2 linked regions of the Daphnia pulex genome follow. Each later gene encodes a partner of the first gene's protein in a complex. Links are inferred from orthologs where the notes say so. Each region holds a gene or a part of one and is shown on either strand. Other genes may lie near its edges.

What was found.
Region 2: the proteins of regulator of nonsense transcripts 2-like (region 1) and regulator of nonsense transcripts 1-like are in contact, whole or in part, in a crystal structure (PDB 2WJV), measured with the Homo sapiens proteins. The link is inferred for Daphnia pulex from reciprocal best matches to the Homo sapiens genes UPF2 and UPF1. Residues at the interface, in NP_056357.1 of Homo sapiens: Val1105, Cys1107, Glu1109, Asp1110, Phe1113, Ile1114, Ala1116, Leu1117, Met1120, Met1121, Asn1124, Leu1125, Arg1128, Met1169, Pro1170, Phe1171, Val1172, Met1173, Leu1174, Thr1175, Gln1181, Lys1184, Leu1186, Asn1187, Val1188, Pro1189, Ser1192, Gln1193, Leu1194, Asn1197; in NP_001284478.1 of Homo sapiens: Asn150, Thr151, Ser152, Gly153, Val157, Asn158, Leu160, Val161, Arg162, Lys164, Lys166, Pro175, Leu176, Gly177, Thr179, Tyr184, Cys188, Asn190, Val191, Phe192, Leu193, Phe196, Pro198, Asp202, Ser203, Val204, Val205, Val206, Leu207, Cys209.

The regions. Positions count from the first base shown.
Region 1 is NC_060024.1:11,700,622-11,704,976, forward strand, and holds the start of regulator of nonsense transcripts 2-like, read right to left. Parts: upstream 3,073-4,355; 5' UTR 2,944-3,072; coding exon 2,869-2,943; intron 2,787-2,868; coding exon 2,394-2,786; intron 2,339-2,393; coding exon 1,997-2,338; intron 1,934-1,996; coding exon 1,544-1,933; intron 1,486-1,543; coding exon 1,392-1,485; intron 1,328-1,391; coding exon 1,159-1,327; intron 1,093-1,158; coding exon 945-1,092; intron 883-944; coding exon 664-882; intron 599-663; coding exon 101-598; intron 26-100; coding exon 1-25. UniProt on the Homo sapiens protein: Involved in nonsense-mediated decay (NMD) of mRNAs containing premature stop codons by associating with the nuclear exon junction complex (EJC).
Region 2 is NC_060017.1:7,855,654-7,860,212, reverse strand, and holds the start of regulator of nonsense transcripts 1-like, read left to right. Parts: upstream 1-1,596; 5' UTR 1,597-1,775; coding exon 1,776-1,961; intron 1,962-2,021; coding exon 2,022-2,273; intron 2,274-2,336; coding exon 2,337-2,509; intron 2,510-2,573; coding exon 2,574-2,959; intron 2,960-3,017; coding exon 3,018-3,122; intron 3,123-3,184; coding exon 3,185-3,287; intron 3,288-3,347; coding exon 3,348-3,507; intron 3,508-3,579; coding exon 3,580-3,863; intron 3,864-3,922; coding exon 3,923-4,181; intron 4,182-4,243; coding exon 4,244-4,559. Other genes in the region: uncharacterized protein LOC124197441, read left to right, coding at 1-53, 131-391, 465-589. UniProt on the Homo sapiens protein: RNA-dependent helicase required for nonsense-mediated decay (NMD) of aberrant mRNAs containing premature stop codons and modulates the expression level of normal mRNAs.

The sequences.
Region 1 (4,355 bases):
CGAACGTGATGCAAGTGTACAGAACCTGCAGATATTTTTTTATGTCAGCAATTTTAGTTGCTGGTAAAATAGAAAAAACAAATTAAATAATGTGCAATACTTTGAAGACGACCGATGATTCAACCATGCGGTAGTTGTAGAGCTCGGCCAGATATTTTGCCATGCTCACGCGCCTTTGATTGAATTTCGATATGGGAAACTCTAAACTCCATCTTATATCCTCCAAAACGGCATCGACTATCCGGTGACCAACGAATTCCTGATAGAGTGTCAACTCGGCCACGACCCCAGCTAATGTACGAATGTTAGGAAACTTGACCTTCCACGCTGAAGTTAAACAGCGAACAGCATAAGATGCTACTTCAGGATCTTTCCAGTTGAGCTTTCTAAGTTGTTTGAGGATCTTATTTGTAGATCCTTTGTTTCCAAGCTCAACAAAAAGAAGTTGGCGGATGTATTGATGGAGCGGAGGACGGATTTTGATGTGACTACTCCTAGCACTGCTATCCACGGGAACGACTTGGTAGTAAGCATTCTCAATCATCGTCAGATAGCGCGAGTCCGACGCCAACATCGATTTCTTTCGCATCATTTGATCCTTTTATCAAATATTGGGAATTATTATTGCAAAACTTTATACCAGAAAAGAGTTAATCCGTGTACCAAGTAGACTTTTGTGCGCTGATGGGAATCTGGCTGGTGAAGCAGGAATCGTCCGCACGTCTCAAGCAGATGGCAAGTCATTTCAATGTAATGATGGGCAAAGTTTAGCAAAAGCTGTTTAAAACATTGCAGTGCATCTGCGCGTGGGTACATGCCGAATTTCGTTAGCTCGCCTATGAAACGAACAATTTTCACCTTGGTCTCGATATTGATTTGATCCTAAATAACAATAAGTAATAGTAAGCTTACAACATTAATCATAAACAAGTTTAAAAACTAACCTTTTTCCGAACATGATATTTGAAGTCTTGTCTGAGGAAGTTACACAAATCTGTCGCAACTTCAGGGATGTACGGATGCAAAGTGGCCACCAGTCGAGAGTAGAACGGCAAGAGATCCAATCGAGTTCGCTGTACAGTAAATAGAGCCCTAGGTGTAAAAAAATATAACATTAAAGGATAATTCGATTATTATTTCAATTTTTGGGGGGTTTACCTAACGAGTTTCTTGCGATTGTGTTTTGTGTTTAGATTTGTAGAAAACTCAATGGCAGCTGAGTCGATCATTTCACGGTTGACGCAAGCTGTCAGAGTGGTAAGAAAACTATCCAGTAGCACTTTATTTGATTGAAGACTGACTGGAACATCTGCATCCTCTTTTTCATCTATTTAGAAGGTAACGACCGTAAAAATTGAAAGGGAAATATAAAGCAATAACCAATATAATACCTTCTAACTCGGCAGGTTTGATATCTTCATCGCCTTCATCTTTGACTTGCTCGCCTTCTTCTATTTCTTTCGCTTCTTTTTCGATATCAATCATCTAGTACAACAATAAATTAACATTCAACACAAATTAAAAACATGGATTACGTTCGTACCTGTTCGACGGGATCGGGAGGAGGCAGAGTTTCTGCGGTGACTTTGGGAATCAAGTTGGGGAGATAAACGCTCAGATTAGGAAGACTTTCGTAGAACTGTCGCCCTTCCTCGTTCTCCCACAGAAGTTCATTGAGAGTTTCGCGTGCCTGATCTGACATGTTCTCGCACAGCTCCAGCACAGAACACTCTTCGTCTCTGGGACTTAGATCTTGTCGAAGCTCGGGTAACTCCTCAGCCAAGATGTCAGCAAATTGTTGGGTCATGTTCAAAAGTTTTGTAAAACTTTGATTCAAAATCTCCTGCTTTTCTTTTCTTTCGTTGCTTAATTCTCCTTTCGTTTGTAAGATCCGCCGATTTTGTCTCTCGAAGTTTTGAAGTTCTTTGTGATCCTGATATTTAAAAAATTAACGGACGTCCTTTCTAGGAGATGGAATCAAACTAATGAATCTAACCTGAGTAAGATGTTTACAAAGAGACGTATAATATTCACGCAGGAGGTTTCTAACATTTTGGCGTTTGTCAGCTGGCAACCAGTTGCTCGTTGGAACAGCTATTTTGAAGCGTTCAGCATCGTTCAGCAATTTTTGAGAAACGAGACCTGCGTAGTCCTCCCCGCAAAACTTGCAGAAAGCAAGAATGATGGTGGCGCTGTTATGTTCTTCCTTGTCGCCATGAATCAAATTGGTAAGAAAACTACCGAGTAAAGGAAGACCTTCTTTAGGGGTCAAAACTCCGCACGATATCAAATCCGCATAGAATCGGACATCGACTCTCATCTTACTGGGATTTGAAATCTACAAAAAAAAACGTGTTTCAATAGGATTATGATAAAAATATGCTAGGGTATACCTTTTCATCTTTCTTCAAGGAAAGCACTTTTTGCCATGCTTCTAGAATTTGGGGGGCAAAGTCAACATATTTCTCGTGAAGGACAACACACACTTGCAGAATGCTGGCGATATCTGTCATTTTTAATTTTGCTTCAACAATTGCATTGGCAACTTCACTGATGTATTTGGTCAGGTTCAATGTGTTGATGTCCTTCAAAATGCTTTCTTTTTGAGCTTCTGTAAAGTTCTTGAGCTTTCTTACAAATGCTGTATTCTTTTTAATGCTTGAATCTAATTTCGAAAAATGGGATTCTTCTGGACGATTTTGAATTGTTGCATGAATCCTACTACGAAGCTTTGCTTTATGAGTAAAATGACCCTCAATTTCTGCTATTGCTTCTTTGAAATTTTTCTAATGAAAATAAAAAAGGTAAATATGGTGTACACATCAATCAGTCTCAACATGTTGTTATGGTCTCCTGATTACAACTTACCAAGGCTAAGGATTCTTTCTCTTCTTCATCCAATACAAGAGAACAGTCATCAGGTAGCTCAGAGGTAGAATCCATTTTAAATAAAAAAAATATTCAACCAACTGGAAATTAATTTTAGTATGGAGAACCGATATGTTTTGTTTAACGTAGTAACCCAGGAAAAAAACAAAATCGCTTCTTCGACTCAAGCAGACAAAATATTTGTGTTACAAAATACAGCGCCGTTGCCAAACTTAGATGTGATAAAAATCAAATTGCGTTGGAAAAAAGTGGAAAATAAATTTTATAACATTTCCAATGAAACTTTAATGAAAATACCAGAATCCTACCAAGAATTAATATCTATGTAAATATTACATTTCTTATGTGTTTTTGTGTTTCTTAATTGGGGATTTGGGGGGAGGGGAAACATCACTTTCGACATCTAATCCATCCAATCCAGAAAGAAAGTTGTTTCTGATTCATTTCTTTATCTCTGTTTTTCCTTGCGAATCCCGATCTAATATTTATATGGCTGCGTTTGGGAGTTCCCCTCTCGGACCAACCTGCTTCGAAAGTTTTGAAATATCTTTAAAATCTAAAAAGAAGAATGGCACGTAATTCGGATGCAGGGAATGGCGTGCGCTGTTAATTTAATGGGAAAAGTAATTTTATATAGAAACTCAATGTCATGACCAATGAATCATTCCGAGCGGTTGCTAACGATTGTGATAGTAGGCTACTAATAATGATAATTAATAATTTGCGTTGCATGGCGTCGAAAAAAAATCGTTTCTATGTTGCGATGAGCAATCTGGAAGCTAGAAGAAGCAACATGAGCATCGATTATGTTTATGTATTCTTTGAACAATACAAAAAAAGAACAGCTAAATATTTTATATTTTAATGATTTTTATATAAAAATTATTCTTACTAGACCTGTGTGCAATTCACATTCTCTCCTTATGGTTCCTCGAGCACTTAAAGTTAAATCTATGCAAAACTGAATAAATGCATGTAAAGCAGCAAACTACTTTCACATATAGCAACCACTCGCTATACAGACAACTAATGCATGACTTTCTAGTCTTGGTTACAAACGCTTAACCGCTAAACGGTAGTAAAAAAAAAAGAAAAATATGAAATCTTATTACATGTTTTCTTAATATCCTGTTGTTCTGTGTCCTTTGGGAATCCCTTCTACTCCGTTCACAATGTGAAATGGGGTAAAATTGTCGTTGTCACAAAATAAAACTTTTGTTGATGACTGTACGCTCAAACATACACCACATTTTTCCAGGAAGTAGTTTGTAGAATCTACTGCCCTGCGGTTGAATAAACAACTCCAGACACTTGCGGAATGGGCGTTCCGAATCGTCTCTTGATATACTTATTGTGTGCTTTTGTTATTAATTCAGTAACAACATTGCTGACCTAGCAATTGGAGCACGGTCCATCTTTTTAGGTCCTCGGTGAGAACCGCTTCGAAATCAGGGCGAGATTTCGAC
Region 2 (4,559 bases), on another chromosome or scaffold:
TGATTGGGCACCCTCTATAAATGTGGGATCAAATAAGACGAAACAATTTCTAGGTATTGCATTATTCATTTCATGTGTAAAAAACATTCCTATATGTTGTTTTAATGAATGAACTATTTTGTCATTACAGATGGTGATCATCAAGTACGTAACAATGTTGCTTTTGACAAGGCTGATACACCTCCATTGATAGATGTTGAAACTGCAACTGAAGATACCTCAAACAGTTTCGATGAAGATGTTGCATTAATTGAAGATACACTTCTAATAAGTGATTCTCATCCAATCCCATCCTTGAACGATGTAACAACAAGTACGGAAACTTTTGACATGACTTCAACTGCCGATGATGAAACTATCATAACGGTTGAAACCACCTTTGATGCATTGCGTAAGTAATGTTTTAAAATGTAATTTTGTAATTAATGAAAGTAATATTTTGGTTCATTACTTATAATTTTCAGCTGCATTAAATAATTCAAGTCAATCCATCAGGGACGTCGAATTTACTTCCGGTGATTCATCACTAACAACTTCAGTTTTCGTGTTCATCTGTTGTACCCTTACTGTAGTGTGTTTAGGTGAATAATTGTCATAATAAACCAAAAATTTTCAATAAATACTTGATGTATTAACCTTGGTTAACAGGGGCACAAACATATTACCATTTTCTTCGTAATAATTTAATCAAACACAACATTTTCACAAATGGAGATTTTCTTTTTTACAAAGGAAGGTACACAAATTGTATCTTTTCGCTCACTAGGGCCTACTGATTGAGGTTATATTGGAAAGTGCTGTTCTCTGAACTTGACTGTTACTAGGAACGACCGGTAAGTTATTTTTCTTTGCTTTTGCCGCTGCGGCTGCTACGGCACGAGCAGCTTTCTTGCAAGTGTCATACTTCCAAAGCTTTGTTATTCTTTTTGGGGGATTAGTTTGCGACTTGATGCACGATTCGTGGAATGTTTTTCTCTTGAAATTGTTGTCTGCACAAATAACTTTCCCAAATAACGTGTTTTGGCCTCAATACTAAGTCCACTGGCATAATTAGACAGTGACATAGTTAAACACTAACACTATAACGAACTAATATATAAATAAAACACATCACAACTTCAAAACAACCCCCTTTTCTATCACTATTTTTCAAAAAAATTCATATTTCGCAGAACAAACACAAGTCACTCGTAGCAGACAAAAATACATGAGTTGCTGCGTTGCCACGATGGCAACAAATGTTAAAAAAGATGTCGAACAGCCCTATATGTCTACGAGAAATGAAATGTCTTTTTCTCTGAAACCACTGGCTTCCTAATTCTGTGACTCAATTATTATCTGAATCGTGGTTTAAGACCTGTTTCTACTTCATTAATTCTTTTCTGTATAACAATGTAACTATAACCTGCAAGCAATATTTAAATCACGAATGTGAACAATAATAATTTGTGACTGGGCACAAAAAGTACCATAGGAGCACATAATCTGGCGATCCCGAAAATCTTTATCTATAAAGCGTTGTTATTTAGCTTAGATCTAAGTGTGTTTGTTTGTGTGCCACTGTGCCTATCTAATGTGCAACACAACTGGTATTTCATTACATTTTTCAAAAGATTGCGCAAGAGGGCGGTTGCATCAACCATCAAGCCGAGAGATGGCGCTTCGATCGCACTAAAGGAAAAGGGAAAACTCGCACAGCCGTGAAAACACACATGCGAGTTTCGTTCCGTAAGAGATTGTAATTGACGTCATTAATTGCTATACCATTTGGCAAAATGAGTGTGGACACTTTTGGGCCCAATTCGCAAACGCTCACGTTTCTCGACACCGAGGAAAATGATTTACTTGGGGCAGACACTCAGGGAACTGATTTCGATTTTCGCGATTTTACTTTGCCGAGTCAAACCCAGGCTTCACAAATTGATCATGCCAGCCTTCACAAATCAATGGGAAAACATCAGGTAAGAAATCCTGCCTGGTGAAACTTTGAAAACATTTCTGTAATTTGTGGTCATTTTCAGGCGAATGGGCTGGACACGATTGATTCTCAACTTGCTACTGCAATGAAAAATTTGAACGATCTCCAGTTTGAGGAAGAAGATGAAGAGGGCTATTACAGCAAAGATTTGCCACCACATGCATGCAAGTATTGCGGCATCCATGATCCTGGTTGTGTTGTAATGTGTAATATTTGCAAGAAATGGTTTTGCAATGGCAAAGGTAATACTTCTGGCTCTCACATTGTTAATCATCTTGTACGAGCCAAACACAAGGTAAAAATATTTTAAAAATATAAATCTTAATCCTTGTTTATAATCAAACTCTTAATTTTTCAGGAGGTTACATTGCATCGTGATGGACCGTTGGGTGAAACAGTTTTGGAGTGCTATTCTTGTGGAGTCAGAAATGTTTTTGTTTTGGGGTTCATTCCTGCTAAAGCAGATTCAGTTGTTGTGCTGCTGTGTCGCCAACCTTGTGCAGCTCAGTCATCATTGAAAGACATGAACTGGTTAGTTAAATTTACTGTGCTGTTTGTCATGTGTGGTTTTCTACTAACTTCTTCTTGCTAATAGGGACATTGAACAATGGAAACCACTTATAGCTGATCGTTGTTTCCTCAGTTGGCTTGTTCGAAGCCCTTCAGAGGCCGAACAGATGAGAGCTCGTCAATTGACGGCCCAGCAATTGAACCGTTTGGAAGAGATGTGGAAAGAGAAACCTGAGGCTAGTTTTGAAGACCTGGAACGTCCTGGCGTTGACGAAGAACCTCAGCACGTATTGCTGCGATATGAGGATGGCTATCAATATCAGAATATTTTTGGTCCGCTAGTGAAACTTGAAGCAGACTACGACCGACGAGTTAAAGAAGCCCAAACTCAAGACAACGTTCACGTTCGCTGGGATGTCGGTCTTAATAAAAAGACTGTCGCTTACTTTAGTCTTCAAAAGACAGATAGCGGTAATGCCTAATATTTATAGTTCACTAGTGTCCCTTCTCATATTTTTCGTTAATTCAGATATGAAACTGATGCATGGTGACGAATTAAGATTGCGTTACCTTGGGGAACTACACAAACCGTGGACTGGTTTGGGGCACGTGATTAAACTTCCAGACAACTACAGTCAGTCTAATATATAATAGTAATAATAATGATAATATAATATATAAATAACTATATTTTAGGCGAAGAAGTCGGAATTGAATTAAAGAATTCAAACGGAGCTCCTACAGAATGTTCCACAAATTTCGTCGTGGATTTTGTCTGGAAATCAACGTCTTTTGATAGGTAACATCCGATGAGCTCGTATTTCAAAGAGATCTAGTGACTAAGAAACATGTCTTTCAGGATGCAATCGGCCCTGCGGAAATTTGCAGTTGACGAAAGTAGCGTTTCAGCTTACATTTATCATCGTTTGCTCGGTCACGAGGTTGAAGATGTCGTATTCCGCCTACATCTCCCTAAACATTTCTCTGCTCCTGACTTGCCTGAGCTGAATCGATCTCAGGTATAAAATTTAGTTGTTACTTGATAGAACATAGAACATTCATTGCTTATCTCATAATGTTACGCTTTACAGGTTTTTGCTGTAAAACAAGCAGTTCAACGTCCATTGACATTAATTCAAGGACCTCCTGGTACCGGGAAAACGGTTACATCGGCCACCATCGTGTACCATTTGGCTAAACTAGGATCAGGGCCAGTATTAGTTTGCGCTCCGTCCAACATTGCTGTTGACCAATTGACTGAAAAGATTCATCGAACTGGTCTGAAAGTGGTCCGTTTGTGCGCGAAATCCAGAGAGGCCATTGATTCACCCGTCTCGTTCTTGGCCTTGCATAATCAAGTTCGATGTCTTGAAGGGTAAGAATTTACTTTGCGAAAATGTGTCATCGTGGGGCTAAAGTTAACTTCTATTATAGAGCTTCAGAGTTGCGAAAGCTGGTCCAGCTTAAGGAGGAAGTCGGTGAGCTTTCACAGGGAGATGAAAAGCGATACCGCATGTTAAAGCGACAAGCAGAACGAGAGCTACTCGAAGCAGCAGATGTATTAGCGTGCACTTGTGTTGGTGCTGGTGATGTTCGCTTGGCTCGCATTAAGTTTGCATCTATCTTGATCGATGAATCAATGCAAGCTACTGAACCTGAATGCATGGTCCCTGTCGTCCTAGGAGCAAGACAGGTAAGAATCCCTTGGTATTATGTGTTTTAGATTTTTATTAATTCAATGTTTTGGGTGTTTAGCTCATTCTGGTTGGAGATCATTGTCAGTTGGGCCCAGTGGTGATGTGTAAACCAGCTGCCAAAGCTGGTCTCTCGCAATCACTGTTTGAAAGACTGGTAGTACTTGGCATCCGGCCCTTCCGTTTGGAAGTACAGTACCGTATGCACCCAAGGTTGTCCGAGTTTCCTTCCAACTTCTTTTACGAGGGATCACTACAGAATGGTGTTTGCGCGGAAGACCGAATCCTTCGCGGGGTAGATTTCCCTTGGCCAATGCCAGATAGGCCCATGTTCTTCTACGTTACATTGGGTCAGGAGGAAATTGCTGGATCGGGTA